7 linked regions of the Rattus norvegicus genome follow. The protein of the gene in region 5 interacts with the protein of the main gene of each other region in a biochemical or structural test. Links are inferred from orthologs where the notes say so. Each region holds a gene or a part of one and is shown on either strand. Other genes may lie near its edges.

Region 1 (3,500 bases), on a different chromosome or scaffold from region 5:
GAGACCTAAGCCCTCAAATATGCTGTACAAATGCTCTACCACTGAGCTATACCCCAACCTGAAATCAAATACAGTAACTATGTTTTTTGTTTGGTTAAGGTTGTCTTTTTGTTTTTTGGGTTTTTTTTGAGACCTCAAATTCAGAGATCCATCTGCCTCTGCCTCCCGAGGACTGGAATTAAAGGCATGTGCCACCACCATCCTGGCACTGGTTTTGGGTTTTGAGACAGGGTCTCTCTATGTAGTGCAGGCTGTCCTGGAACTCACTATCAAGACCAGGCTGGCCTTGAACTCACAGAGGTCACCTGCTTCTGCTCCCCAAGAGCTGGGATTTGCCATCACAGCGGGCAAATCATGCTCTAACACAGACACACTTACTGCTCCCTGTGCAGGGTCCCAATAATTTACCGTAACTGTAGTATCCACTTATCAAACAATCTCTCATGCTGTTGATTCAACTGTCCAATTTCAGTAGAAAAGGAAGGCACAAATTTGCTCAGTAAGTTACGCAGAGTTTTCTTTAAAGAAAAGAGAGACAGAAGTTCTTAGTGAAAATAATGACTTAAATCAGGTACGAACATTGAATGTTAATGACTTAAATCAGGTACCAATTGAATGTTAAAAAAAAAGTCATAGATGGCTTAAATACTTGTTTAATTACAAGCTATCTTTAAAAAATAGTAATACGTCTCCAAGCCTAGGAGTCTGGGGCTGCAGCTCACTGCTGGAGTGCTTTCTAGCAAGTGTGAGCTCTGAGCTAAAGTCTGCATAATAGTATCAACATTATAAACAACAACATTCAAAGAAAACCAAGTCTGTAGATTTGAAAAACTTTAAAAAGAGTGATTCAATATTAATTTTCAGAAAACATTAAGGTTCCTTTATAATTTACCGTCAATAATAAACCTGTATTTGCTCCCTTTCAAAAGCCACCTTTCACAAGTGCTGTGTCTTTGGCGTTGTGTTGTGGTGCTGTGGGATGGGTATACAATACAAGGATCTACAACTACCACTGGGAGCTAGTTAAGTCCTCCCCCTCTTAGGCTGCTGTCCCGGTTATTAGTCACAGTGATACAAACTGCACTGTAAGGTAAAAATCTGTAAAGACAGTAGTAATAGAAAACACTCCCAAATTTCAGTCTGGGGAATCAACTATAATCTGAAGATCCCAGAGAAAGCCATTCGCATCTTTACTCTAGTGCTGCCTTGTTGTGGTTTAACAAACACATTGTTTCACTTGTACGCACCAGCACACATGGGCCACATACACATGTATGGATATCACAGAGCAGCTTGAGAACTGAAGGTGGCGGCAGACTTCGTGCTCAGTGTCCTTACCTGCTGGGCCACCTTGCTGACTCACACACTTTCAACACTGAGGGTTACAATCAAAATCCGGATATCAGCTCCTACAGCTTTACTCACAGTTAGGAGAAATAAGACTCATCTTAAGCGCTCATGTCTTTGGACGTCAGAGCAGAGCACAGAAGGCACCACCATCATCCTCAGTCACTTATACTAGGCTGAGGATGTTTACCCGAGCATGAGCTTGGCGCTGTTGTTTTCATCTACACACTTGTACCTGAGTCGTCAATTTTCAGGCGAACCATACTGCACTGTCCATACCCTCTGATTTGCTGCCCTTCCCTTCTGAGTGGATTATAGCTTCCTGACTCCTGACTTATGTTCAGCCACGTCATCTGGTCCGCCACTAGAACAAGGCACAAGATTGCCAGTGTTTACCCAAGGCTGTAGAGGCTATCTGCTTTCCTCCTTAAGTCTCTACCATCATCATACGAATATGCCTCAGCCACCTGACTGGTCCAACAAGTCATGCAGACACGGGCATAGTCTAGACCTGCTAACCTCCCACTAACCCACAGCAGCAGAAGCAAACGGTCATGCTACGTCTGTAACCCCTCCTTCCCTATCATCATCAGGCTCTGAGGGCTCATTTTGCCCTTGGATACACTTAGGTTTCTCTCATGTGGCTTATAAAAGATAAACAGTAGACTATTAGTGCCAGTGCTTTCTTGGAAAACCTTTTCTTCTTTCCTTCCTTCCTTCCTTCCTTCCTTCCTTATTTATTTATTTATTTATTTATTTATATCAGGTGTGTGTGTCCATGTGTGTGTTCATGTGTTTGTTAACAGTGGGATATGTTTCCCAAGTATGTGGAATCCAGAAGTTGGGCATCTTCCTCAAACACTCTCAATCTTTTTTATTTTAATGGGTTTTTTTATGTATATGTATATATGTTTATGCACCCAATGTGTTCATGGCGCCCAGAGGTGGTTGTGAGACAGCTGAGTAGGTGCTGGAAACTGAGGCACGCCTTGTACAGTAAGCAGGTTTACTGTTGAGCTGTCATGTCAGCTAATAACACTCTCTTCTTGCCTTCAAATTATAAACCCAACTGGCCTTTTAGAATTTTGTTTTTTCTTTAATTGTAGAGGGAGGTATATGCAAGTAAGTCGCCCATGGAAGCTAGGAGAGGGTACTGGGTCTTGAACTTTGAAAGACATCACCACTCAGCAGTTGTGTCCTATGTTAGAGGTGTCTGTCAGTCAAAATTCCAACAGAGACAGACATAGTAGACTTTTTGTCAAATGAGGTCATGGGAAAATCCAGCACGGTCACCCTTGCTACTTTACTTCGCCATACAACTTTTCCAAAAAAGCAAGGGAGATATCCTCGACAGCTTTTGCAAAGCCAGTAAGTGAGCAGTTGGGCTGCAGGTTTTGCTATGTAAAGGTCAATATAGGATTACAGCGAGGAACAGAGCAGCAGTTCATGGTTATCAGAACGTTATGACCTTGATAGTTATTCTAAATCCTTAATCTAAATCTAAATCTAAAAAGAAATGAAAGAAAAAGGATAATTATGTCAAACAGAATTCTAATCAGTGTATTATCTATAATTCACGCAGCAATCATTTAATGATGATAGCATATTAGCATGTGTTCTACTTTATCAGGGAAATAATTCCGCTCCTGCTCACTTCTCTCCAAATGTGCTACTGCTGTATTTTCAGGTTACAATAAACAGAATGCTGGCCACACCCTCGCAGCACACCTGGTCCACTCTCGCTCTCCTCAGCTTCTGCAGCGTTCTATCAGACGTTAAGACTTTTGAACTACTGTGGGCTTCAAAATATTCTTCTACCAAGTCACCCTGAAATGAACAAAGAAAAGTGAGGTCTAAGTAATTTCAGATATTTGTACTACATAAAATCTATGTATTAATATTAGTTAACATTGGGCTCAAGAAATTCTCCTGCCTTAGCTTCCCAGACAGCTGGAAAATACATGTGTGTGTCAACATGCCTAACTTAAATACCTTAATGACAGTATTTTAAAAGAAATAGTATACTTTTCAAGGACCAAAGATGATTTAATTCTACCAATAAATGTTAATAACTCTCATAAAGTTATTAACAGAGGCAGGAGGATCTCTGTGAGTTCAAGGCCAGCCTGGTCTACAGAGTGAGTGCCAGGACA
Region 2 (3,500 bases), on a different chromosome or scaffold from region 5:
TTTAACTTGATGATCTCAGAAATGTCAACTGTCACAAAAATCCAGATCTTTCCCTCCGTCGATAAGCATCAAGTGTGGATCAGATGTGTTTGAACCATAAGGTGCCCCTGGGCGCTGTCTGACTCTGGAGCCTAGAGCTCAGCAGTGTGTCTGTCCTCAGCCTGCTGTGAGGAGGGTTGTCCAAGGGCGTCCACTTCCTCTGGTGGCGAATGGAGTTCTGGGTCCATGAGGGTGCTGTCATTGCTCCTGTTCGTTGGTTTTCAGTGAAGCATTGCAGTCTGTCCAAGGAACCATTTCAGGGATTGTACAACGTATCGAGATGCCTTCAGAAACAAGTTACTAATCCATTGCTCAGTCTGAAATGATAGGCCTTGCGAGAAGTTCTTACATTCAAACGAGAATCCTTTAAATAGGGACACTGAACCACAGAACAGCCTGGTCTTCACAGTCGCAGATGACTAGAGGCCGGTGCTGTCAGTAGTAAGAAGTGGGTCCTTTAAAGGATCTACTAAGACGGGACAGAGCAGGGTGGGCTTGGTGGTGCATGCCTGTGGAACAATTGGACCTCTGAGTTCAAGGGCAGCTTGGTCTTCAGAGCACGTTTCAGGCCTACCAAAGCTGCACAGTGAGCCCCCATCTCAACAAGGGATAGCGCTCATCTGGTGTAGCCAGTGAGAAAGAGTGTCCTTCTGGGCCTGTGAGTCACGTACGGGCTGTTTCCTCTAGTTTTTCCGAGTCGTACTCACGTGGGCCAAGGTGGTTTCCTCACCTGACTGCACAGGATAGTATGGCGCTGAGAGTACTTTGAAGGGCCTGCTGTGCTGACAATGTCACCGTGACAGCTAGCCCTTCCTCTCAGGCACTGCCTGTGTCAGCACTCGGCAGCTAGTTGCCCAGTGTTGGATGGACCCTTTCTCTCTTCGGCTCACGTGTCTGCTGGGCTCGACCTGGGGGCCCCTCTCTGTTCTGTGGCTAGGATAACTGGAATAGCCATAGACTCCCCCCTCTTTTGGGGGATCACTTTCCCCAGTTCCCCGATGTCCCCAGTACCCCTGTTCAGCCATCTCTTCTACTGCCGAGAGGGAATATCTAGTTCTTGTTGCATTTTGTCCAGAGGTAGAAGAAGACTTTGACTTGTATCTTTAAATGCAGAAAGGGACCAAGGGAGGAACCACCAAAGCTTGAAGGTAGAAGCATGCCCTTGTGCATAGTTGTGGCTCTTGAGCTGGGAAGGGGTAGAGTGAGAACACGGGGGAACGTGGCAAATGGGTTCTCACCACGTTTCTGTCTCCACCGTGATGATTGAGGGGACTTGTGGAGATAGATCATGACCTCACGACACGTTCTGTAGAGAGGGCATACAGGGAGGGTGTAGTCTTTTCAGGCCTGCCTGTTTCTGGGACGTCCCACATACGTACTTTGATGGGGCAACACTCTCCAGTATTGTCCTGGCCTCCTCCCCCCTCTTCCTGTCCTTTCTTTGAGGACAGCTGCTGCTCTGGGCCCCTGACCTAGACTTTTGCAGGCAGGTAGGCAGGCAGGCAGGCAGGCAGGCAGGCACCATTGGACCACTGTGGTAGGGGAAGGTATCTGTGGGGAAGCGGTGGGCATGACCTGGAAAGTGAATCTGCTCTTCTTTGCTGAGCTGCTGCCTCTGGCCTGTAGCAGGTTTGTAACCCCAGATCAGAAGTATTCCATGGACAACACTCCCCACACACCAACCCCGTTCAAGAATGCTCTGGAGAAATATGGACCACTGAAACCCCTGGTATGTGGCATGGATGCTGTGAGTCTCTGGGCTGGGTTTATCTAACATGGGATGACGAACCCTTTTTTCTCTGGGGTCTCTATATTCTAGCAAAGTACAGTTTCCACTTGTCACCTCATCTACATGCCCTGAGTCCCCTCAGCGCACCGGGCAGATACTGGCTGGCTGATGAGGTAGTGGTGACTTGGATGGGGGATGTGGATATTAAAACGCATGCTATCTAAAAAACGGAAGAGTTTACTGTAAAGGAAAGGGTTGAGAGGTGCTGGCCACACGCCTATAATACCAGTACCTGGCTGGTGGAGGAGGCAGGCAGATCAAAAGTTCGAGGTCGTCCTCTGCTGCCTAGCAAGTTTGAGGCTAGCCTAACTGGCACGAGACCCTATTTTTAAGAAAAAGCTGGAAGCCAGGTATGGTGGTCTTCTAATCCAGCACGTGGGTTCCTGGGGCAAGCGGATGGAGAGCCAGTCTTCACAACATGGGGAGGAAGGAAGGGAGCTCCTGAGCAACGGAAATGGACACCCTTGTGTCCCAGTTAGTGTGGAGCAAAGACAGAAGGAGCGTGGCTTTCGGGGCTGTAGGTTCTTTAGTTTTTGAGGTAACTTGTCTACAAAGCCCAGTGTCTTAGGTTTCTGTTGCTTTGGTAAAAAACATTGTGACCAAAAGCAACCTAAGAAAGATAGGGTTTATTACAACTTACAGTTAAAGTCCATCACTGAGGGAACTCAGGGAAGGAACCTGGAGGAGGGAACTGATGCAGAGGCCATGGAGGAGTTGTCTTCTTATACACTCCTGGACCACCTGCCCAAGAGGGAGGGGCACAGCCCACCCTTGGCCCTCCCACATCAATCTCTAATGGAGAAAATACCTGCACAGATTTGCCTATAGCCCAGTCTCACTGGGTGTCTCATTTCTCAGTTGAGGGTCCCTCTTCTCAGATGACTCTAGTTTGTATCAAGTTAATGGAGATCTAACCAGCACACTCAGATCACCCCTGAACTTGCCTGGGGCCAATTCCTCCACCTTGGCCTCTTGGGTGCTTAGGTCATAGAAGGTGGTGCTGTCTAAAATTCCTGGGTTCAAGGGGTGCTTCTACCTCCACACATGAGAGCTGGGACTTGGTGGAAGACTGGGCTCACGAATCTGAGCTCTAATGACTGCTATGGTTTGGGTCGGGCCCTCGGTGTGAGCCTGAGTTTCAACTCTGGACATGGTAATTGCTACACAGCATTATGGGGGTGCAGAGCTGAACCCATAGGCCTTCGGGGTTAATGTCTTCGTCCGTTTGTCCAAGGCAGGACAGTTCATGGTTATGAGCAGTGCACATGAGGTCATCGTCCTGGCGTGAGCTCTCTGCTTGCCTGTACTGCTTACCTCTTAGACGTACACGTCCTGCAGTCTAAGTGGCCCTCCCATGCTCACCCTCGCCTCTGCCCACAGCCCCAAACCCCACACCTGGAAGAGGACTTGAAGGAGGTGCTTCGTTCCGAGGCTGGCATTGAGCTCATCATTGAGGATGACATGAGACCCGAGAAACAGAAGAGAAAGCCTGGGGTGAGTGGCTGTGGGCTTGACCCTCAGCTCTGCCTGGGCAGTTCACATAGAAAGCCAGACCTGAGGGCTGGAGGACCCATAAGTGCCTTACGTGACTGCTCCTTCCAGAGAGGGCCCTGGCTTCTCACCTGGGTCCTTCCGTACTGTGAATGATGCAGCCTTTCTTCCAGCGTTGTGA
Region 3 (4,053 bases), on a different chromosome or scaffold from region 5:
AGAGATGGCAAGCATGGGCTTTCTTTGCCTTTCTAAGATTCCAACCTCTATTTAACACAAATTGATTACGTATTTTTTTCTTGATCATTCGATGGTCCAGGAGACCATAAACCATGGTTGGCTGGTTGGTTGTTTTCTATCTGCCTGGCACAGAATTTGGTACATTACGGTAATGGGCTCCCTAAATGTTGTAGGTAGGAGCAAATGAAACTGACTTTAATTTCCATAAACTTTAGGCATCTGCCTGTGGATGTTAAGTCCCTAGCTGTTAGCTTTAAAGACTCAGGAATTCAGACCCAAGTCATCCTGGCTGCCAAGTGGGTCCGTGAAAGACCTCTGGGGCACAGGGGACTTAAACTGGCCAGTTGCTGGAAAAGCTGACATATCAAACTCCTGTTCCTAGTCATTTAGACCGTAGCCCTCGTTCTATCTCCCCTAAAGATCAAGGAACAATGTGAAATCCACATCATAAACAAAGCACAGTTGGAAAGGACCTTAGAAACAACGGTAGCAGCCCACCCACTTCATTTTATAATAGAAGAAAATGGGGTCCTAACAATTTAAGAGGCCATGGTAAATGAATAGTACAGTTGACCTAAAACCCTGGTGCCTCTCCTTTCTATGCCACTAGGCTGCCATCAATAGGACCCCCAAACTGAGGTGCATGGGGTTCCAGGTCATGAACTATACCTGATTATCTGCAAAACCTGGGTTTGGTCTAAAACCTTCCTGAATTTCAGTTTCCTTGTGGTACAGCCCTGAGGAACGATGATGAATGTACAATGAAATTATTGGGAACAAATACCAACAAAAGTCTCAGCGGGGATGGGATGGTATAAAGAACTCTTGAGGTGGGTGACCAAAGACTTGGGTTCCACTCGGGTCATTTCCCTGGGCCTATTTCCTCTGCAAAAGCAGGAAGCAAGCATGGCTGATGGCTGCTGCGACATTTCCACCTCTGCCCACCCAGGCTGAGGCTGAGGCCCTCCCTGGGCGAGCGGACTCATAGAGCCCGCCCTAGGGGTGAAGAACGAGGGGGCTCGAGTTACCATCCTGCAGCAGTGCCGTCTTCTCGGCCGACCGCAAAATCTCCAGCCAGCTAGTCACCGCCATCTTCCCTCCGCCCAGCAACGCGCCTGGCCACTGCCATGGCAACTACCCGACCGATGATCACTTCCGGATGACCCGGGAAGTATTCTGGGAACAGATTTTTTTTTTTTTCCCCCTTTTTCAATCCTCCTCCTCCCCCAATCCGTTTTCATTGGCTCCCATGGTGAGTTTATTTCTCTTTGCCGGGAGATTCTGGCCTACTTTGGACCGGTCCTGGGGCCGGGTGGAGTGGGGATGCTCCTAGAGCTTTGAGGGACCCAGCACCAGCTCTCTTCTGGCCCCAGCTGGGAGTCCCCGGTTCGTGCCAGCTGCTCGTGCAGTGAGTGGCACATCTGCTCCGGTCTTGCCCACCTCCAGCTGTGAGGGCACCCTCCAGCTGCTGTGGCTGCCCTCCACCTCCCTGCAGCTGCGGGGCTCAGACCCGCGCGAGGAGGCTGCGACAGGGGCAGGTGCACAGCGCACACAGCACTCCCCAGGTTTTCTTCTGCTAATGTACATTGAGGCTAGAGAAAGATGATGTGAGCTTTATGTGACATGTCCTTTAGACTTCAATTCATTGGGGGAGATGAAGACCCTCCTAAAGATGTAGTCCCCATTCCTAGCCCGTTATCATTTTGGAAAAGCCCCTTGGGAGCGGAAGCACAGGCGGATTCTGCGCTGTATCCCTCCCCCACTTAATGTTGTTTCTCTTCCGTCAACTCCCACTCCCACCCCCCACCCCCATCCCCGCAATAATCCCAGACTTTCTATGGCTTCCCTAGTACTATTAAGGTTGAAAGACTGGTGTGTGTGGCGCTCGTATTAAATCACTTAAGTTTAACTGGGGTTTCCGAGACTTCGGAGAAAGGAGTCTGTACCCCCAAGTCCCATCTCTATGCCAAAATAGTCAAGGGGTGGCTCTCGCTCTTGGCTTTCTGTATGACATCTGTCCTTAAACAGAAAGGTCCAGATCCAGCGCACTTCAATGGACCCCCAGGGCATCCTGAAGGCATTTCCCAAGCGAAAGAAAATTCATGCAGATCCATCATCAAACGCACTTGCAAAGATTCCCAAAAGGGAGGCAGGAGATGCTAGAGGTGAGCCCGTCCGCCCCCAGACCTCATATACTGGAATTCTCAGCCTTCCTGTTTTCAGTCAGAATCAGATAGCAGGAATGGCCTTACCTGTGAGGGGCCAAGATCTCTTTGTACATACCTTGTATCAGTTTCGGTTTCTGTCCTTTTCTCTTGTTTAGAGTCTCAATGTAACCTTGACCTTGCTGACAATCACCTTAAGCCCCGATCCTCCTGTCTTGACACTGCCAAGTGCGAGGCTTACAGGTGTGCGGCACCACATTCAGCCGGCACTTTGTCCTTTGATTTTGTTTTTGTTTGTTTTTTTGTTTTTCCGAGGCAGGGTTTCTCTGTGTAGTCCTGGCTGTCCTGGCACTCTGGCTCTATAGACCAGGCTGCCTTCAAACTTGAAAAGCAAAACAAAACAACAAAAAAGGAAGTTTGCTGTATGTTTGTGGTAGAATTCCTTGAAGGCATTTTGTTCACTGGATGGCAGGAAAATGAAGGGAGGTGACTTCAAACAATTCGTTATATCTAAAACTTTCTCAACTCACTGACGTACAACCTGTAATTCCAGCACTTGGAGAGGCAGAATGAATCAGAAACTCAAGGTTATCCTCTGCAACATAGTGAGTTTGAGCTAGCCTAGGCTACATGAGACCCTGTCTCAAATAATAGTGCAATAATAATAATAATAATATTATTATTATTATTATTATTATTATTATTATTATTATATAATGGTAATAGCATTTGCGTATCCTCTTCCCAGGATGGCTGAGCTCCCTGAGGGCCCACATTATGCCCACTGGCATTGGGCGAGCCCGGGCTGAACTCTTTGAGAAGCAGATTATCCAGCATGGTGGCCAGGTGTGCTCTGCCCAGGCCCCAGGAGTCACTCACATTGTGGTGGATGAAGGCATGGACTATGAACGGGCTCTCCGGCTCCTCAGACTGCCCCAGCTGCCCCCTGGTGCTCAGCTGGTGAAGTCAGCCTGGCTGAGCTTGTGTCTACAGGAGAAAAAGCTGACAGACACGGACGGATTCAGCCTTTCCAGCCCTAAGAGGTCGGCTGCCCTTAGCCTTTCTCAGGTGTTTGTTGATAATAACATTTGAGTTTCCATTGAGTTATTAAAAAAACAACTCCTACTTTTTAAGTTGGACATACCAAGGTTTCAGTGTAGAGGAAGACTGGGGACAGAGGCAGGTGAGACGTTTGATATTCTAACTGCCTGTGACCTCCCCCTGCCCTCTAGGTCCTTGAATGAACCACAGCCCAGCAAGTCAGGCCAAGATGCTTCTGCTCCTGGCACTCAGGGGGTTCTACCCAGGACAACGCTCTCTCTTTCCCCTCCTTGTACCAGAGCTGTATCTCCTCCCCCAAAGGCAGAAAAGCCACCAAAAACCCAAACCCAGGTGAGGAGCCTTCCAACTCAGGGTGCTGATCACAGAAACGGAAGGGCCTGGATTTTATACAGAAAATTCTAGGTATCTCTTGATTGTGCACCTGTCTGTCTCTTCCCAACACTTATCAGTCCTGCGTTCACCAAGTTATGTCTGCCATATACCACGGGGAAGCCCAGGGCTGGGTTCTAGAGGAGCCCCTTGGAACCTTTTCCTCCAGTCAAAGCAGGAGACACCTACCCACCAGACAACTCTCTCTTCTGAGGAGGGCCCAGATTTATTGTGTTCTTCTGTTCGCAGCTCAGCTCAGAGGATGAAGCCAGTGATGGGGAAGGGCCCCAGGTTAGCTCAGCAGATTTGCAAGCCTTGATCAGTGGGCACTACCCCACTCCCCCTGGGGAAGATGGTGGGCCTGACCCAGCCCCAGAAGCTCTGGGTAAGTGGGTCTGTGCACAGCCCTCAAGCCAGAAGGCAACTAATTACAACC
Region 4 (4,234 bases), on a different chromosome or scaffold from region 5:
TATAGAATAGAGTTTATTCAAATCATGGGGAGGGGAGTTAAGAGGGTAGAAGGGCAGAGAAAGTCAGAGAAAGAGAGAGAGAGAGAGAGAGAGAGAGAGAGAGAGAGAGAGAGAGAGAGAGAAGTAGAAAAGGAGAGGAGGAGAGTAGAGGCCGGCCATGAGCACATGGAGAGAAGGGGGGGGAGGGAATGGGGAGAGAAGTGACAAAGAAAAAAGAGGGTAAGAGCAAGAGAGCAAGAGAGGGGCAAGAGGGAGCAAGAGCGTGAGGACGGGGCAAGCAGCCCCTTTTATAGTGTCAGGCATACATGGCTGTCGCCAGGTAACTGTGGGGGTGGAACTTAGACAGAATGCTAACATATGTATGTGTGTCTTCATTTTGAGTCAGACCATAGGGGAGCCATTGACAAAACTCATCTGGACTTATGAAAGGCAGGTGCACGCATGTACCTAATTGTTTTTCCTTCATTTGTTTTGGTGGCTAAACCTAGGGCTCTATATGTCACCCATCAGGCTCCTGCTGAGCTGCATTCCTTGTCTTCTTTTTTATTTTTAAGGAACCATCTGATTTCCTGCTTATCTATCTCATGTCCTTATGAATGCAGGAAGAAATGCCAATCACATATCTCCGTGTCTTCAAGGTTGCGGATCAAGACACAGCCAATCAAGGCGGTACTAAAGGCAATAGCACGATTGATTCAGTGAATAAAATTTGTCTTTATACCATTTCTAATGTGCCATCGACTCTTGGAATACTGGTGATGGCTTACTGGAGAGTTTTGAATTCAGACTTCACATTTTTTTCTTTTTCTTTTTCTTTTTTTTTTTATTTTTCGGAGCTGGGGACCGAACCCAGGGCCTTCCGCTTGCTAGGCAAGTGCTCTACCGCTGAGCTAAATCCCCAACCAGACTTCACATTTTGTATATGAGGAAATGAAGGCTAGAAAAACAAGTGTTTTAAACTTAATAATATGGAGGCTAAAGAGATGGATCCGTGGGTTTCGATTTCCTCTTTCAAAAATACAAGGTGAAGAAAGATTGAGGAAGACACCGGATGTCAACCTCTGTCTTCATATGTACGCGTGCTTATGGGTTACAGACTTGGACTCCTCAGTAAATCCTAACTTCCCATTTGACAAAACTACCTACAGATTTTAAAAAAAGAAAAGAAAAGAAAAGAAAAAAGAAAAAGAAACAAAAGGTGGGGAGGACCACAACTCCCAGAATGCAGTGCTTCCTAGTCTTCCTTGTTGCTCAATGGCTAGGGGGTGGGTTTTGAGCCTCTTTTCTGTGTCATTGGCCAGCCTTCCTATTAGGGCGGAGAAAGCGACCATTTCTCTCCAATCCAAGAACCGAATAAAAGGCTATTGAAGAAGTCAGCCAATTAGAACGCGTCTGTGCTCCCTGCTTCCTCCACCATAAACTTCCGTGGCGGGAAAACTTGGGAAGTTTTCGCGCCAGGGAGGAGTCACACACGTTTTTATTTTTTGCGGGACTCTTTGGTGGCCGGCGATTTCGGGGCAGCGGCATGGCGGGTACCGTAGTGCTGGACGACGTGGAGCTGCGCGAAGCGCAGAGAGACTACTTGGACTTCCTGGACGACGAGGTGAAATTCGGGCTGCGAGCCGGGTGCTGGGGTTCCCGCGGGTGACGGAGTGGCTGATGGGGTCTCTGTTGGTGACCGGGCACGGTGCTGGGGTTCCGCGGGTGCCGGAGCACAGCTAAAGGGGTCCCCGCGGGTGACCTGACCCGGGTGACCGGGCACGGTTCATGGGGTCCCCGCGGGTGACTTGGCCCGGGTGATGAGACACGGCTGATGGGGTTTCCGCGGAGGGCCCAGGCCGCTGATACGTCCTGTTATCTTTTTTTTCTTTTTCCTTCTTCAGACAGACCTCAAGATTTTAAAAGCTACTTTCCTTTCATGTTAATTATACGTACTAGTTTCATTATGAAAACTTCATAAACATATAATGTATTCTGGTCATATTTCTTTCTTTCTCACCACTCCTTTTCATTGCTGCTACTGATCACCCACGCCTAATTACTGTCTTTTTTTTTTTTTTTAAATGAGTCAATGGGTTTTCTCTTGTTTTTTGTTTGTTTGCCGTGTTGTAGATGGTACCCAGGCCTTGTGCTTGCAGTCACCCCCACCTCCACCCCCACCCCTAAACTTGAAAGGAGACTGGTCAGGTGTAAACAGATGAAAGGCCGTCTTAACCCTTCCTTGGAAGGGCTAATGCAACTGGCTCCCAGCCCTCAGATTTAATGACTGATGGGGTGGGGGCGGGACTAACAACTTAGGCTTTCTTTTTGAGAATTCAAAGTGTTTTCTATGCAGGTAAGATGGGGTTTAAGTGTAACCTAAATTTTAAAGGATGTTGAGCCCTGTAAGTTTGTTGATGAAAAGCAGTTTGAATTTTAAGAGTATTTATTTATTTACTAGTCTTTAAGATTTAGGTCATTCTAAGTCCCAGCTAAAATGTAAGCCTATAGGACAACTGTCGATTGTAGTAGCATGTGATAGGGGATGCTGGGCAGGAGGAAAGGTTGTCTGCAGCCATCTACTCCCTGGGCACCATTTGAGATGTGTATCGACATGCTGGCATTCTTGTGTGTAAGTGACATAATTAGTATCCAGTGTCATTTTCGTTGGTGTAGGCTTTAAGTAGCTCCCAAGTTCCAGCTTTGGACTTTTGAATACCTTCATGTTGACTTCCCCTCCACATCCCCCCATCATGAACCCCATTATACATTGAATGCTAACCGGTCCCCAATGCTCTCGTGATAAAGACAACAGGTATGCTTTCCTTGTCCAGAAAGGCCTAGACCTTACCCCATGATAAGGGAAGCCTGCTTTATAACGTAGGGAAGATCATCTTTCAGACAGAAGCATGTCGTACCAGAGGACAAGATAAAGAACACAGAAATGACTGTCCTGCCTTCATGTTATCCGTCCTTAAGTACCTCAAGTTCTTGATACAGCTGCAGACCCCGCTGTTGTGTTTACCTGTCTTCTGAATGACACTTGTCTCCGGCTACCTTCAGGAAAGGCTTGCTCTCACTTGAAGACCCCTCTTTCTACCAGTGTTTACAGGGTCTCACTGTGAACCTATCTGCTCGTTTGCTCTTTTGGTTGTTGCTCTTAAAGCAGTCTTACTCTGTAGCCTAGCTTTAGATTCAGTGGTGATCCTCCTGCCTCAGATGCCTGAGTGTTGGAATTGTAGCGAAGCTCCGTGAGTTCTAAACAGCTTTTCCTCTTTGTGTCTCTCCCTCCCGGCAGCTTTGGAGATCCAAGCTTGCTATCAGTACAACCAAGAACCTGTAGAAAGGGGTCCCTGGGTGTCGTAGGTGACATTGACTTTATGATTCTTAGAGTCTCCTGATAGCTTGTGGGTGAAATCTGAGGCCAGAGAAAATGAAAGGGAGGGACTGAAGAACAGACTTTGTGTTCATCTGGGGTCTAGAGGGCTCCTTTCCAGGGTTGCTTCCGGTCTGAAACACTTTTGAGTTGTAAAGCTGTTTTGATATGTCTTAATTGATTTAATATGTCAAACAGTATGATTTGATCTGTCTTACTCCCGCTTCACAGGAAGACCAAGGAATTTACCAGAATAAAGTTCGGGAGCTGATCAGTGACAACCAGTATCGGCTGATTGTCAATGTGAATGACCTGCGCAGGAAAAATGAAAAGAGGGCTAACCGGTGAGCCGTGACCGGGTTTCCAGGGGTTCCACTGCCTGTGAGGGACAAAGGAAGGCATCATGTTTAGATTGGGACAGGCTTTCCTGGGAAAGACCTAGACTGCATGGACCTGACGTCCACACATGGAGGCTATCCTCTCCCAGAGAGGAGGTGGTAGCGTTTCGATCCCAGGTGCTCCCGTCTCCCAGTGTTTTGCTGAGCATCATTTCTTATATCTTTGATGAACTGATGTCAACTTCGGTTCTGACGTATTTTACCAAGTCTTTCACAGTGGTAGGACAAAGCAGACGTGGGTTTTCTTCACCGATCATAATGACCCAAGGTGGTTCCTTCTTGTATTGAGGGTCAGTTTCCTGAGCTCTGTCTAATGGGTCTTTGTCTTGACCCCGTGCAGCCTCCTGAACAATGCTTTCGAGGAGCTGGTTGCCTTCCAGCGGGCCTTGAAGGATTTCGTGGCCTCCATTGACGCTACCTATGCCAAGCAGTACGAGGAGTTCTACATAGGCCTAGAGGGCAGCTTCGGCTCAAAGCACGT
Region 5 (4,208 bases):
TTCTCTGGACACCCATACTGGTCCTCCTTTCAGCAGCCAAAGGTACCAGGGGGTGAGAATGAGCCCCTATATAGAAGGGGATGCTCATTTGCATAGGCCTTCCTCCTCTCCCTCCAGAGGAGGGGAAACCTGGGAAGAAGGAAAGGGCCGGAACTGATTTCATCCCATTGCTCCAATGACAGTGTCTGGTTTCACTGGGTCACATTCACTGACACACACTTATTCTGGAAAGAGTTCGCTGATGGGCAGCCGCAATTCATATACTTCACAGTCACAGTTCAGCAAGGCAGAGTCAAGAGAATTGAGTCAAACCAAAGAGTTCCTTAAGACAGAAACAGCACCTTTATCCAAAAGCAGCCAGAAGGGGCTGGGAGTGTAGATTGCCAGCAATGAAACAACACAAGCAGCCAATGAACCCCGAAACAGTGAGACAGTATTAAGCTAGGCTGAGAAACGACTCTGTTATCTAGCCAAAGAATCCTTTACAATAAGAGTCCCGATTGATTTTCCAGCCTGGCCTACAGAGCGAGTTCCAGGACAGCCAAGATTACACAGAGAAACCTTGTCTGGGAAAAAGAAAAGAAAGAAAAAGGAGGGAAGGAGGGAGGGAGAGAGGGAGGGAGAGGGAGGGAGGGAGGGGAAGAGGGGGAGGGAGAGGGAGGGAGGGAGGGAGAGGGAGAGGGAGAGGGAGAGGGAGAGAGAGAGAGAGAGAGAGAGAGAGAGAGAGAGAGAGAGAGAGAGAGAGATTGAATTCGTGTTCCACATGGCCTCACCCGGGAAACCGAGCCAAACGGATCTCTGTGAGTTTGAAGACAACGTGGACTTTTGAACGCATTCCAGCCAACAAGGGCTGCATTATGAGATGTTTCAGAAAAGCAGGTGGGAGTGCTGGAGAAACGGCACCTCTGTTGAAAGCACAAGCTGCTCTTGCAGAAGACCAGAGTTCGCCCAGGACCTCAGCTCCCGGGGATCTGCTGTTTCCGTGAAAACCTACAGATACGCAAACACACACCTAATTTAAAATACGTATTTTTTTCTTTTAAAGATTCCCAGGTTTAGTTTTTTAAAAGAGACTTTCTTGGCCAGGTGGAATTTAATCTCACCCAAGGGATGGTGAAAATTGTGAGGGAAAGGTAAGAAAAATCCGTAGACCAGAAACAACACCAGTTCTGGCCCGCGGAACCTAAACCAGGAACTAGGGGAAAGTTGCGCCTCGGCCCCTCCGCTCGCCTGCCGGGGGCGGGGCCTCTGAGGCGGGAGCGCGGGGTCCGGTCCGCCCTCGTGACGTGAACCAATCGGAAGGACGGGGGGCGGGGCCAGGGAAACGCGGGAAGGAGGGGCGGGGCCTCGGATGGCAGGCTGGAGCAGTGGGGGAGGCGGCAACATTGTTTCAAGTTGGACAAATTGTCAAGAGCTGAGCTCTGCTTGCGTTCCATCCCGAGCTAGGGCTGCCGTGCTCACCCGGGCCCCCAGGTCCTCCGCTCCGAGTGTCCGGCCCGCTTTCGTCAGGGTTCCCGGGCCCCGCTCCCGGGGGCCTGAGCCGCCTCACTAGCGCTCCATGGAGAACTTCCAAAAGGTGGAGAAGATTGGAGAGGGCACGTACGGAGTGGTGTACAAAGCCAAAAACAAGTTGACGGGAGAAGTTGTGGCGCTTAAGAAAATCCGGCTCGACACGTGAGTGGCCTCCGAAGCCGGAACTCCTTTGCCCGGACCTCTTGGCTGCCCCCCCCCCCAACCCCTTACCCAAACAGGCGGGTAGCCTCCCGGGACCGGAAGGTGGCGGGGAGGGACTCCTGAAGCGAGCGGTGGGTTGGCGGACGGTGGACGCTCTCCCGGAGGAGACTGTCCGGGGCTAGAATTCAGGGGAAAGTTTCTTGTCGTGCTCCTCCCGGTGTGCTCCCAGATCTGCAAGCCGAGAGACTTGGGAAGAGAAAGTGGGAGGTGGGAGCTGAGGTAGGATCCAGGGCTGTTCATGGAGTTGGGTTATGTGGGAACCAGAGAAAAGCTCCTTTCTGAGTGGAGAGCTCTTCTCACTACTCCAGCACCATACTTAGAACCCTCACCCTCTTTCAAAAGAATGGCAGTTGAGATTCACTGGTTCTCTGGGGAGGCTGGGAGCTACTCTCAACCCCCTCCGCTATTACCTTTCCTCTGCTTTTTATTCACCTGGAGGCTTCCCTTATCTTCCACTGGAAAAAGAGGAAATAATGACCTTGAATATTGTCTAAAAGCCACACCCTGACTACCCAGGAATTAACCCCTGACAACACCTTTCCTTTCTGACTTCCTAATGGGTTTGGGGGTTGTGTATCCCTGAAAGAATAATGTTTGTAACCGTCTTCCCGCCTCTGTTTCCCCAACCTCTCCAAGTGAGACTGAAGGTGTGCCCAGTACTGCCATCCGAGAGATCTCCCTCCTTAAGGAGCTCAATCACCCTAACATCGTCAAGTAAGTCTACTCTGAGGGATGATCCCCAAGATGAATTCTGTTTGCTTGGCCTCACAATTTCTCTCCCTCAACTCTGGTTCCTGGAACTTCCCTTGCAGGCTGCTGGATGTCATCCACACAGAAAATAAGCTTTATCTGGTGTTTGAATTCCTGCACCAGGACCTCAAGAAGTTTATGGATGCTTCTGCTCTCACTGGCATTCCTCTTCCCCTCATCAAGGTAATCCTGCTCAAGTCTAGCCTACACGCTTTAGGGGAAACTAGAAGCAGGTAATTCGGACTAGTAATGATTTATTTTGGCTTTTTTTCCCCTCAGACTTCTGACTTTAACACACTCCCCCCTTTCCTGTCATTAGTCATTAACCCTAGAATGGACAGAAGAATCCAAATTGAGCTCCTGTGAACCAACCAAGGCAGCTCAGGCAGGAAGGAGATCAGATAACACTCAGATACAGGAGATTGAGGGTAGATGAGTTCCTTGAAATAAATTCTCCCACCTGTGGTGTGGGAAAAACTAATCAGTGAGTCTCTGTGGTCTGTTTTCAAGCTAGGCTGGATCCTGGAAGCACTTTGAATGTATCAGCAAGTACCTACTCAACACATAGTCACTTAACACCTTCAGTGTTGCTAGACACGGGGGTTGAAAAAAGGGATGCAAAAGTTGAGTAGTATCTGGTCTATATCCTTGCCAGGCTGAAAATTCAGTGAAAGACATCGCTATTAAAGGTGTGGTTATGCTGTAGTTGTGTGTGTTGGTTTGTGTCTGTAATCCTAACACTTGGGAGGCTGAGGCAGTAGGATGTAAGTACAAGGGCAGCCAAGCTACAAAGTTCCAGGCCAGAAAGACAGTATCTTTAAAAACAAGCAGGACTGACAAGATAGCTCAGTGGTGAAAGCGCCTGCCTCCAAGCCTAATGACTTGACGGCCTGAACTCCATCCCTAGGTCCCACACAAGAAGAAAAGGAGCTCCTGCAAGTTGTCCTCTGACTTCTACACATGCACTGTGGCATGCCCCTGCCCCCATAAATAAACAAACAAATAAAATGTAACTAAAGAATTAAAGAACCCCTCCCCAAGTATATGGTATAGTTCTTGTGCAGCATATTGAATTTTTTTTAAAGATTTATTTATTTATTATATATAAGTATACTGTCGCTGTCTTCAGACACACCAGAAGAGGGCATCAGATCTCATTACAGATGCTTGTGAGCCACCATATGGTTGCTGGGATTTGAACTCAGGACCTCTGGAAGATCAACCAGTGCTCTTAGCTCCTGAGCCATCTCTCCAGCCCAGCATATTGAATTTTGAGGATAAAGAATAAGTCATATCTGTTTGATGAAACAAACCTCCCTCTCTCCTTTGTCAGAGCTATCTGTTCCAGCTGCTCCAGGGCCTAGCATTCTGCCATTCTCACCGTGTCCTGCACCGAGACCTTAAGCCCCAGAACCTGCTTATCAACGCAGAGGGGTCCATCAAGCTGGCTGACTTTGGACTAGCAAGAGCCTTTGGAGTCCCTGTCCGTACTTACACTCATGAGGTAAGTCCCTTTATGGTTTTCCTTAAGGATCTTGGGAGATGGGGCTGGAGAGATGGCTTAGTGGTTAGGAGCACTGACTGCTCTTTCAGAGGTCCTGAGTTCGATTCCCAGCAACCACATGGTGGCTCACAACCATCTGTAATGAGATCCGATGCCCTCTTCTGGTGTGTCTGAACAGAGTACTCATATACATTAAATAAATAAATTTTTTTTTAAAAAA
Region 6 (3,513 bases), about 110 Mb from region 5:
CCCAGGGCAGTTTGCTCAGAGCCATGGGGCAGCACCTATGATATAGACTGCACCCCCCATCAAGGCACACCCCACCTTGAAAAGGCAGTGGGAGAGGGGACCTTCCCCCCCCAGGGTGGGCCTCGGCGTCCTGCTTCTCACACCCCCAAAACTCCCAAGCTAGCAAGGCATGTAAATGAACTCTTATACTCAGGTATATGGAAGATGTGGGGGGGTCTTTGAGGAGAGCAGTCCACCCGGGAGGCCGGTCCGCATCTCCCAGGGGTCTCAGGAAGCTTTGGGGGGCTCGGGCTTAGGGAGCAATCTCCTCGCGGAGGTCCGGGGGTGCATCGAGGGGAGAGGAGACTCAAGAGGGGGAAGGGACAAAGTTTGAAAGTGCCCTTCCAACTCTTCCTGGGAAAGTTTCCTTGAGGTCCCCGCAGGCAAAGAGGGGGTAGGGGTGTCAGGGGAGCTGTGGTCCGGTGACCCCCGAGAGGTGACCGGACCCCGGGGAGGCGACCCCTCCCCCCTTGTCCCGACTCGGCCCGGTTGGGAGTCGCCCAGCTCAGGGCCGCGTGTGTTAGTTGTGGCCGCTTCTGAGCCGCTCCGCCAGGTTGGGGGACCCCGCAGGCAGCCGGGAGTGGGGTCCCTGGTAGTCCCAGGGGAGAGCTTTCCTACGGGGGGTCTCAAGTCCCGGGGCTCCCCGCCTCCGCAGAGCCAGTCCCCCGCAAAGGGGAAATGTGCCGGTGCCCCAGCGCTCCTCGGCGCCGTTTGGGGCTTGTGGCGGGCGCGGGGGGCGGCGGCCGGGGCGCCAGGGTCCCCAGCGGGGAAGCCTAGGGAGCCGAGCAGAGACCCTGAGAGACGGCGGGCAGCGGGAGGGCCCGGGCCGCTGGGAAAGGTCGAGTTTGCTCGGCGGAAGAAACACAGATGGCGGCAGCGCGGCGCCATTCCGGGCCGGGAGCAGGCAGCCAGCAGCCCAGTCCTCACCGCGGTCCGCCCGCCGCCGCTAAATACCCGGATGCGCCGCCCGAGCGCCAGACGCAGAACTGGGAAAAGGGAGGCCGTGGAGGCGGAGGCGGAGGCAGCGCCAGGCGCCGGGAGAGCGACGGAACACTGGGGGCTGGGCGCGCAGAGCAGCTCGCGACCCGCGCCGGGAGGACAGGAGCCACGCGTCTTCCGTGTCCCCGGCAGCCACACTTTAGTCTGGCCTGCTAGTGGAGCGGAAGAACAGATCGCGAGTCAGGTTCTGCACAGCCTCCGGCGAAGGCTGGCCCTTTGGAAGGCTCCTTGAACAGCCGGAGCAGGCCGGCCACCATGACCGAGAACTCCACCTCCACCCCGGCGGCGAAGCCCAAGCGGGCCAAGGCCGCCAAGAAGTCCACGGACCACCCCAAGTATTCAGACATGATCGTGGCTGCCATCCAGGCAGAGAAGAACCGCGCCGGCTCCTCGCGCCAGTCCATCCAAAAGTATATCAAGAGCCACTACAAGGTGGGTGAGAACGCCGACTCCCAGATCAAGTTGTCCATCAAGCGCCTAGTGACCACCGGTGTTCTCAAGCAAACCAAAGGGGTGGGCGCCTCGGGGTCCTTCAGGCTGGCCAAGGGCGATGAGCCCAAGAGGTCGGTGGCTTTCAAGAAGACCAAGAAGGAAGTCAAGAAAGTGGCCACTCCAAAGAAGGCAGCCAAGCCCAAGAAGGCTGCTTCCAAAGCCCCAAGCAAGAAACCCAAAGCCACCCCGGTCAAGAAGGCCAAGAAGAAGCCGGCTGCCACGCCCAAGAAAGCCAAAAAGCCCAAGATTGTCAAAGTCAAGCCAGTCAAGGCATCCAAACCCAAGAAGGCCAAACCCGTGAAGCCCAAAGCCAAGTCGAGTGCCAAGAGAGCCAGCAAGAAGAAATGACAATGAAGGCTTTGCTTGGGGACACTCCTTCCTCCCTCCTGTTTTCTGTAAATACATTTCTCTCTTGATCCCATCTGCAACCCTTTGCCCATTCTATTTGGACTCTATAGAGGACAGAGTTTGGCTTCCTCAGACAGACTTTGTGGAATATTTTCCTTAACCCATTGTTCAAGGACAGCAAACAGACCTCATCTTTATAATGATGGAGATGTACTTTTTTCTTGATTTGATATTAACCTTACGGGGTTGTGGGGGGGGGGGGCGTTGTGTGTTTCCTTCGGTGGTTTGTTTACTATGAAGGTAAATGGAACTGGCAAAGTTCTGGGTAGGTGAGGACCCAGGAACTAGGTTGCTTGTCCCTAGTGAGCGTTTCAGAACCTTTGATGAGCAGGTGATACCCCATCTACCTGGCCAAGGGGGGTTGTGGGGGAGAAGAGGATAAACTCCCTGGGCTGCCCTACCAATGGTGGTAAGTTGGGGGACCTGATTTCTTTTTCTCTTCTGCCCTAGTGCCTCTCCAAGTGACAGCTGGTTAGAGAAGCCATAGCTTCTCACAACCGGGATTTAGCCATTGGGAAGGAAGGGTCTTCTCAGCAGTCTCTGGTTAAATGGGAGTGGACTTAGGGGGAGGGGTGCAGAGTCAGCCAAGTGCCTCAGTGTGCCTATGGAAACTTGGGTTTTTCCACACGGTTGATGGATTGTGTCCTAGGAGGACGTTGTTCGTTTCCTTTCCCCTCTTCCTGTGTAAGATGTGGCATTGCTTGGTGCCACTTCAGTTCTACCAGCTGCCACTTAAAACCCCTCCAAGCTTTTGAGTCTTTTCTAAGTAGCCGAGGAGGGGGAGAGGCAGGGAGTGGACTGTGGGATATACTCCCGTGGATTCGAATTTGCTAGGTAGCTTTAGAGAAGCGGGATTGTGTGCATGTGTGTATATGTATATATCCATATCTAAGACTAGTACTTAGTCTCACCTCGGGAGCTGGGAGAAAAACTCTGTACAGTTGTCCTCTTATTTTAATAAAGTAGGAAACTCGGGTACCCTACCCCACTTTTTAAACAAGTGTAACTAGTGCCGGGAAAAAATTACTGTGGTTGTAATTTTAAAACTTTAAAATAAAACTGGAAAGGAAAAAAATCTGAGTGGTGCATTTTTCTTTAACTGGAGAAGAGAGGAGCAATCTGACGGGCAATGTGGGGAGAGCTGGTGGTGCCACGTTCGCGCTAGAGAACAGCAAAGCTTTGGAGGGACCGGAATGCTCAAGCAGGTCCGCTGAGCACGTAGGTGGGTCTTTGGGAGAGGTGTGTTGGTAGGCTCTAAGAAGGAGAGGCATTGAAGTCGCTTTTCTCCCCCTACTCAGCTTCCCCAGCGCGGACCTTCCCAGTCTCGACTTACAAATCAATCTTTGCGTCGCGGGCAAACGCTGTCAGGCTCCGCCTGCGGGTGGGGTTAACCATCCAGTTAAAGTAAGCTCCTGTTGTTCTGATTGGCTGCCTGGGCCCTGCCCACACCTCGTGACGGGGAGCTCTAGGCGGCAGGCTGGCCGGCACACTTCAGTCCGTGGGCGCGATGTGGGTCAACTTCTTGTGGCGCGCGGCGCTGTCCCCCGGCCGCCGTGCTCACTCAGCGCTGGCTCA
Region 7 (3,500 bases), on a different chromosome or scaffold from region 5:
CTTCTCTGGCCAGAAGATAACCATCCCAGTAAATGTTCTTGTCTGCCCGTGTGCAAAAGATACCACCATTTATCTCCTCAGTTGCTCAAGCCAAACATGGATATGTCATATCATCCAGACACGAATGTATCATCCTTCATACATGTATTTATTGTCCTCCACATCTTCATTTTACTCCTAAATGGTGCCTGTCATCAAGTACATAAAAATTTATCCAAATCTGGCTTGCCTCTAATTCCAACAGCTGGGAGGCCAAGGCAGGAGGATTGCATGAGTTTTTAGACCAGACTGAGCTATAGTGAGATTATGGACAAAAAACAAACAAGTAAAACAAACCCAAAATATCTTTTTTCCCCTGCAAGTTGGTTTCACACTTTGAAAAATGTCATGGTTAATGTGTTTTTAACTGGACAGGATCTGGAATAATCTAGAGACAAGGCTGTGAGGGATTATTTAGATTCTAGATAGTTTCTGAGGCTTTGAGGGATTATCTTGGTTAGGTTATTTGGTGAGAGAAGACCCATTTTAACTGGGCAGGATCATTCCCTGGAGGGGTCCTGGACTATGTAAACAGGAGAAGGTTTCTGCTCCCTGTGTGGATGTGATGTGACCGCTGCCCCAGTGCTGCAGCCTTGATGGAACTGGGCACCAGAGTAGACGCTTTCTCCTTAGGTTACTTTGTTAGTTTTGTTTGGTTTCCATTATGTGAACAGGAAAAGGAAAGGGCTGAGGTCTTCGTGCTTTTAGATGCTTCCTTGTCTGGTTTTCCTACTTTATTGATATCCATGTTCCTTCCTTGTAAAATCCTTTCTTTTACACATAGGTCCAGCACTTTGAGTAAGATGTATGTCTAGAGGAAACTCCTGCATATACACCATAACTCCCACCCCCCTTCCCCTCCCACCCCTCATACTTCCCTCCCAGAGCTGAGGACCGAACCCAGGGCCTTGCATTTGCTAGGCAAGTGCTCTACCACTGAGCTAAATCCCCAACCCCTACACCATACTTTTGTGAACTGTTCTGTGTACCCACTCTACACCCTTTCTCCCTTTAGAAAACAGACAGGCAAAAGAAGACCAGGTATGGTGACATACGCCTTTAATCTCAGGAGTTGGGAGTTAGAGACAGGTGTCTGAGTTCTAGACCAGACTGGTATACAGTGAGTTCCAGAACAGCCAGAACTACATTGAGAGACCCTGTCTCAAAAAACAAAATAAACGCACAAAATACACACACACACACACACACACACACACACACACACACACACACACACACACACACGGTCAGAAACCATAGCACACAGGGCAAAGACTATTAAGAACAAAACAGAACAAAACCCAAACAAAACAATGTGTGTCTATAAAAATGAGTGAAGCCTTTGTTGTTGTGCTGTTGTGTTGGCCGTCTGCTGCTGGGTAGGGCCTGCCTTCCCTGTGGTCAGTACCCCGGAGACTCGGTTGGTTGCATGTGGTTAGTATACCTGTGAGACTCCGTTGGGGAAGGCTAATTTCCTTTGCAAGCAGGTGCCAGTTGCAGGAGAGTCTCCTCGTTAGGGGTGGGAGCCCATATCTTACCCCGCAGTGCTGGACCCCATCTGGTTTGGACTTGTGTGTGCTGCCCCAGCTTCTGTGAATTTATGCATGTTTCAGTATTATATCTGGAAGAGTCTGTTTTCTTGGAGTCATCCATCCCCTCTGGCTCTTAAATTTTCTGCTCTTCCGTATAGCTCTCTGGGCTGACAGAAGAGGTTTGAGGATGTCAGGCTGAGTATTAATAGGTGTAAAATGCTTAGACCAAAGCTTGGCTGGTCATGGAGATGGTCAGGGGGTGTTACTAGGCGTATCGCATCTGCTGATAACTCGTGTTATCTGCAGATATTTCATGTTTGCATTGTTAGAGTGGCCTTGTAGCTGGTGCTATTTTAGTTTGAAAATTTTATCTTTTATATGTCAGTTAAATGCTTATATTCATGAATGTGATTTTGCGTCTTCTAGTAGTGAGTACATGTACATTGCACAACTAATTCTTTTTAAGGCATAAAGTTACGGTGCGTTCGACCTTCCCTCTAAGGTTCATGTGCATTTTCCACCAGGGGGCAGGACAATGTCATGGGAGTGAAGTACTGCTTCAGGAAGAACGACCATGTGGTGATTGCTATGCCCTACCTGGAACATGAGTCTTTTCTGGTAGGTTTTAATCGTTTTTAACTTTAATCAGCTAAATGGTTAAATTGAAACAATTTGTGATGTGGTTCATAACTCTCTTTTAGGACATTTTGAATTCTCTTTCCTTTCAAGAAGTTCGAGAATATATGTTCAACCTTTTCGTAGCTCTGAAGCGGATTCACCAGTTTGGCATTGTTCACCGTGATGTGAAGCCCAGTAACTTTTTATACAATAGACGCCTGAAAAAGTGAGTGCCAAGAGTCCAGGAAGCGCTGGCATCGGGTTCACGCTGCGGAGCCCATCTCTGAGACGCAGTGTTCTCAGTGTGACTGGGGAGGGGGAATGGAATGAAGAAAGTGAGATTGTGTTAGGAACATGATGCGCATCCTGAGAGACGAACTTAGGTGGAAGGAATTGGAGCCTGGCCTGTTTTGACCTTTGACCTTGTTTTTATTTTTGTTTTAATGAGAATGTTGGATCACATAATCCATTTTCTGTGTGAAAACCAAAGTTATTACATGAGTATTTTTGTTGATTCTATATGGACACGACCTTATAAATATCATACTTAGGTATGGTAAGGACTTAAAAGTATTCACTGGCCCTTGTTTAGTTAGAAATTTTCTGCTGTTGCGCCATCTTCCCTGCTACAAGGCAGGGTTCTGTCGTTTGTCTCTGCTGAGTCCTCTTCTGCTAAGTCCTCTTCTGCCTCGTCTTGGTGCAGGCCAGGGAGCAGCAGACAGCACTCGGCCGGTTGGTTCAAGGACACAGCTTTAATGTCCAGCCTTAGCTATTAAGTTCTTGGGAATTTTTAGTTTTTCTTTTTTTAAAGAATATTATACATTCTTAATTGTTCTAGAATGAAGTATAGTTTTGGATGTGATTTGACAACATCACAATGTTATTAAGATTGAATCTCTCTAGGAGGGTGATAATACTCGATTTGCTTCTAAGGTATGCCTTGGTGGACTTCGGTTTGGCCCAAGGAACCCGTGACACAAAGATAGAGCTGCTCAAGTTTGTCCAGTCTGAAGCTCAGCAGGAAGATTGTTCACGAAACAAATGTCATGGAGTCATTGGACACAAGGGCCCACTGAGTCGCCCAGCACCTAAAAATGTGGATCAGCACATCACCACAAAAACTTCTGTCAAAAGATCCTATGCAAACGCACAGATTCACATTAAGCAAGGAAAAGACGGAAAGGTTCTACCTTTTACATTTTCAATAAGAACGATTTAGGAATGTTTCCCATCAACCAACAGAGGGAGACCTAATACTAGGAGAGCACTTAGGGTTAAGAAGCCTTTGCAAACCTACATTACATGTTTTAG

What was found.
Region 1: the proteins of Cdk2 (region 5) and Orc2 form a complex in vitro, tested with the Homo sapiens proteins (2 studies listed by BioGRID and IntAct, with this or other methods). The link is inferred for Rattus norvegicus from reciprocal best matches to the Homo sapiens genes CDK2 and ORC2.
Region 2: of the proteins of Cdk2 (region 5) and Mybl2, one has a biochemical effect on the other in vitro, tested with the Homo sapiens proteins (3 studies listed by BioGRID). The link is inferred for Rattus norvegicus from reciprocal best matches to the Homo sapiens genes CDK2 and MYBL2.
Region 3: of the proteins of Cdk2 (region 5) and Poll, one has a biochemical effect on the other in vitro, tested with the Homo sapiens proteins (2 studies listed by BioGRID). The link is inferred for Rattus norvegicus from reciprocal best matches to the Homo sapiens genes CDK2 and POLL.
Region 4: the proteins of Cdk2 (region 5) and Mcm3 form a complex in vitro, tested with the Homo sapiens proteins (2 studies listed by BioGRID and IntAct, with this or other methods). The link is inferred for Rattus norvegicus from reciprocal best matches to the Homo sapiens genes CDK2 and MCM3.
Region 6: of the proteins of Cdk2 (region 5) and H1f0, one has a biochemical effect on the other in vitro, tested with the Homo sapiens proteins (11 studies listed by BioGRID and IntAct). The link is inferred for Rattus norvegicus from reciprocal best matches to the Homo sapiens genes CDK2 and H1-0.
Region 7: of the proteins of Cdk2 (region 5) and Cdc7, one has a biochemical effect on the other in vitro, tested with the Homo sapiens proteins (2 studies listed by BioGRID). The link is inferred for Rattus norvegicus from reciprocal best matches to the Homo sapiens genes CDK2 and CDC7.

What each region holds. Positions count from the first base shown.
Region 1 is NC_086027.1:67,506,150-67,509,649, forward strand, and holds part of Orc2 (origin recognition complex subunit 2), read right to left. Parts: intron 3,175-3,500; coding exon 3,076-3,174; intron 519-3,075; coding exon 409-518; intron 1-408. UniProt on the Homo sapiens protein: Component of the origin recognition complex (ORC) that binds origins of replication. DNA-binding is ATP-dependent. The specific DNA sequences that define origins of replication have not been identified yet.
Region 2 is NC_086021.1:172,145,305-172,148,804, forward strand, and holds part of Mybl2 (myb-related protein B), read left to right. Parts: intron 1-1,665; coding exon of another isoform or gene 1,666-1,668; coding exon 1,669-1,768; intron 1,769-3,208; coding exon 3,209-3,322; intron 3,323-3,500. UniProt on the Homo sapiens protein: Transcription factor involved in the regulation of cell survival, proliferation, and differentiation. Transactivates the expression of the CLU gene.
Region 3 is NC_086019.1:254,354,890-254,358,942, reverse strand, and holds the start of Poll (DNA polymerase lambda), read left to right. Parts: upstream 1-1,253; 5' UTR 1,254-1,273; intron 1,274-2,049; 5' UTR 2,050-2,074; coding exon 2,075-2,186; intron 2,187-2,934; coding exon 2,935-3,229; intron 3,230-3,418; coding exon 3,419-3,578; intron 3,579-3,866; coding exon 3,867-4,053. Other genes in the region: protein DPCD, read right to left, coding at 1,050-1,113.
Region 4 is NC_086027.1:30,730,947-30,735,180, reverse strand, and holds the start of Mcm3 (DNA replication licensing factor MCM3), read left to right. Parts: upstream 1-1,434; 5' UTR 1,435-1,525; coding exon 1,526-1,603; intron 1,604-3,586; coding exon 3,587-3,699; intron 3,700-4,093; coding exon 4,094-4,234. UniProt on the Homo sapiens protein: Acts as a component of the MCM2-7 complex (MCM complex) which is the replicative helicase essential for 'once per cell cycle' DNA replication initiation and elongation in eukaryotic cells.
Region 5 is NC_086025.1:1,719,079-1,723,286, reverse strand, and holds the start of Cdk2 (cyclin-dependent kinase 2), read left to right. Parts: upstream 1-1,408; 5' UTR 1,409-1,558; coding exon 1,559-1,674; intron 1,675-1,736; exon of another isoform or gene 1,737-1,953; intron 1,954-2,370; coding exon 2,371-2,448; intron 2,449-2,546; coding exon 2,547-2,667; intron 2,668-3,817; coding exon 3,818-3,988; intron 3,989-4,208. Other genes in the region: melanocyte protein Pmel 17 precursor, read right to left, coding at 1-16. UniProt on the Homo sapiens protein: Serine/threonine-protein kinase involved in the control of the cell cycle; essential for meiosis, but dispensable for mitosis. Phosphorylates CABLES1, CTNNB1, CDK2AP2, ERCC6, NBN, USP37, p53/TP53, NPM1, CDK7, RB1, BRCA2, MYC, NPAT, EZH2.
Region 6 is NC_086025.1:112,472,128-112,475,640, forward strand, and holds H1f0 (histone H1.0), read left to right. Parts: upstream 1-1,152; 5' UTR 1,153-1,293; coding exon 1,294-1,878; 3' UTR 1,879-3,013; downstream 3,014-3,513. UniProt on the Homo sapiens protein: Histones H1 are necessary for the condensation of nucleosome chains into higher-order structures. The histones H1.0 are found in cells that are in terminal stages of differentiation or that have low rates of cell division.
Region 7 is NC_086032.1:2,959,657-2,963,156, reverse strand, and holds part of Cdc7 (cell division cycle 7-related protein kinase), read left to right. Parts: intron 1-2,095; coding exon 2,096-2,189; intron 2,190-2,272; coding exon 2,273-2,415; intron 2,416-3,122; coding exon 3,123-3,372; intron 3,373-3,500. UniProt on the Homo sapiens protein: Kinase involved in initiation of DNA replication. Phosphorylates critical substrates that regulate the G1/S phase transition and initiation of DNA replication, such as MCM proteins and CLASPIN.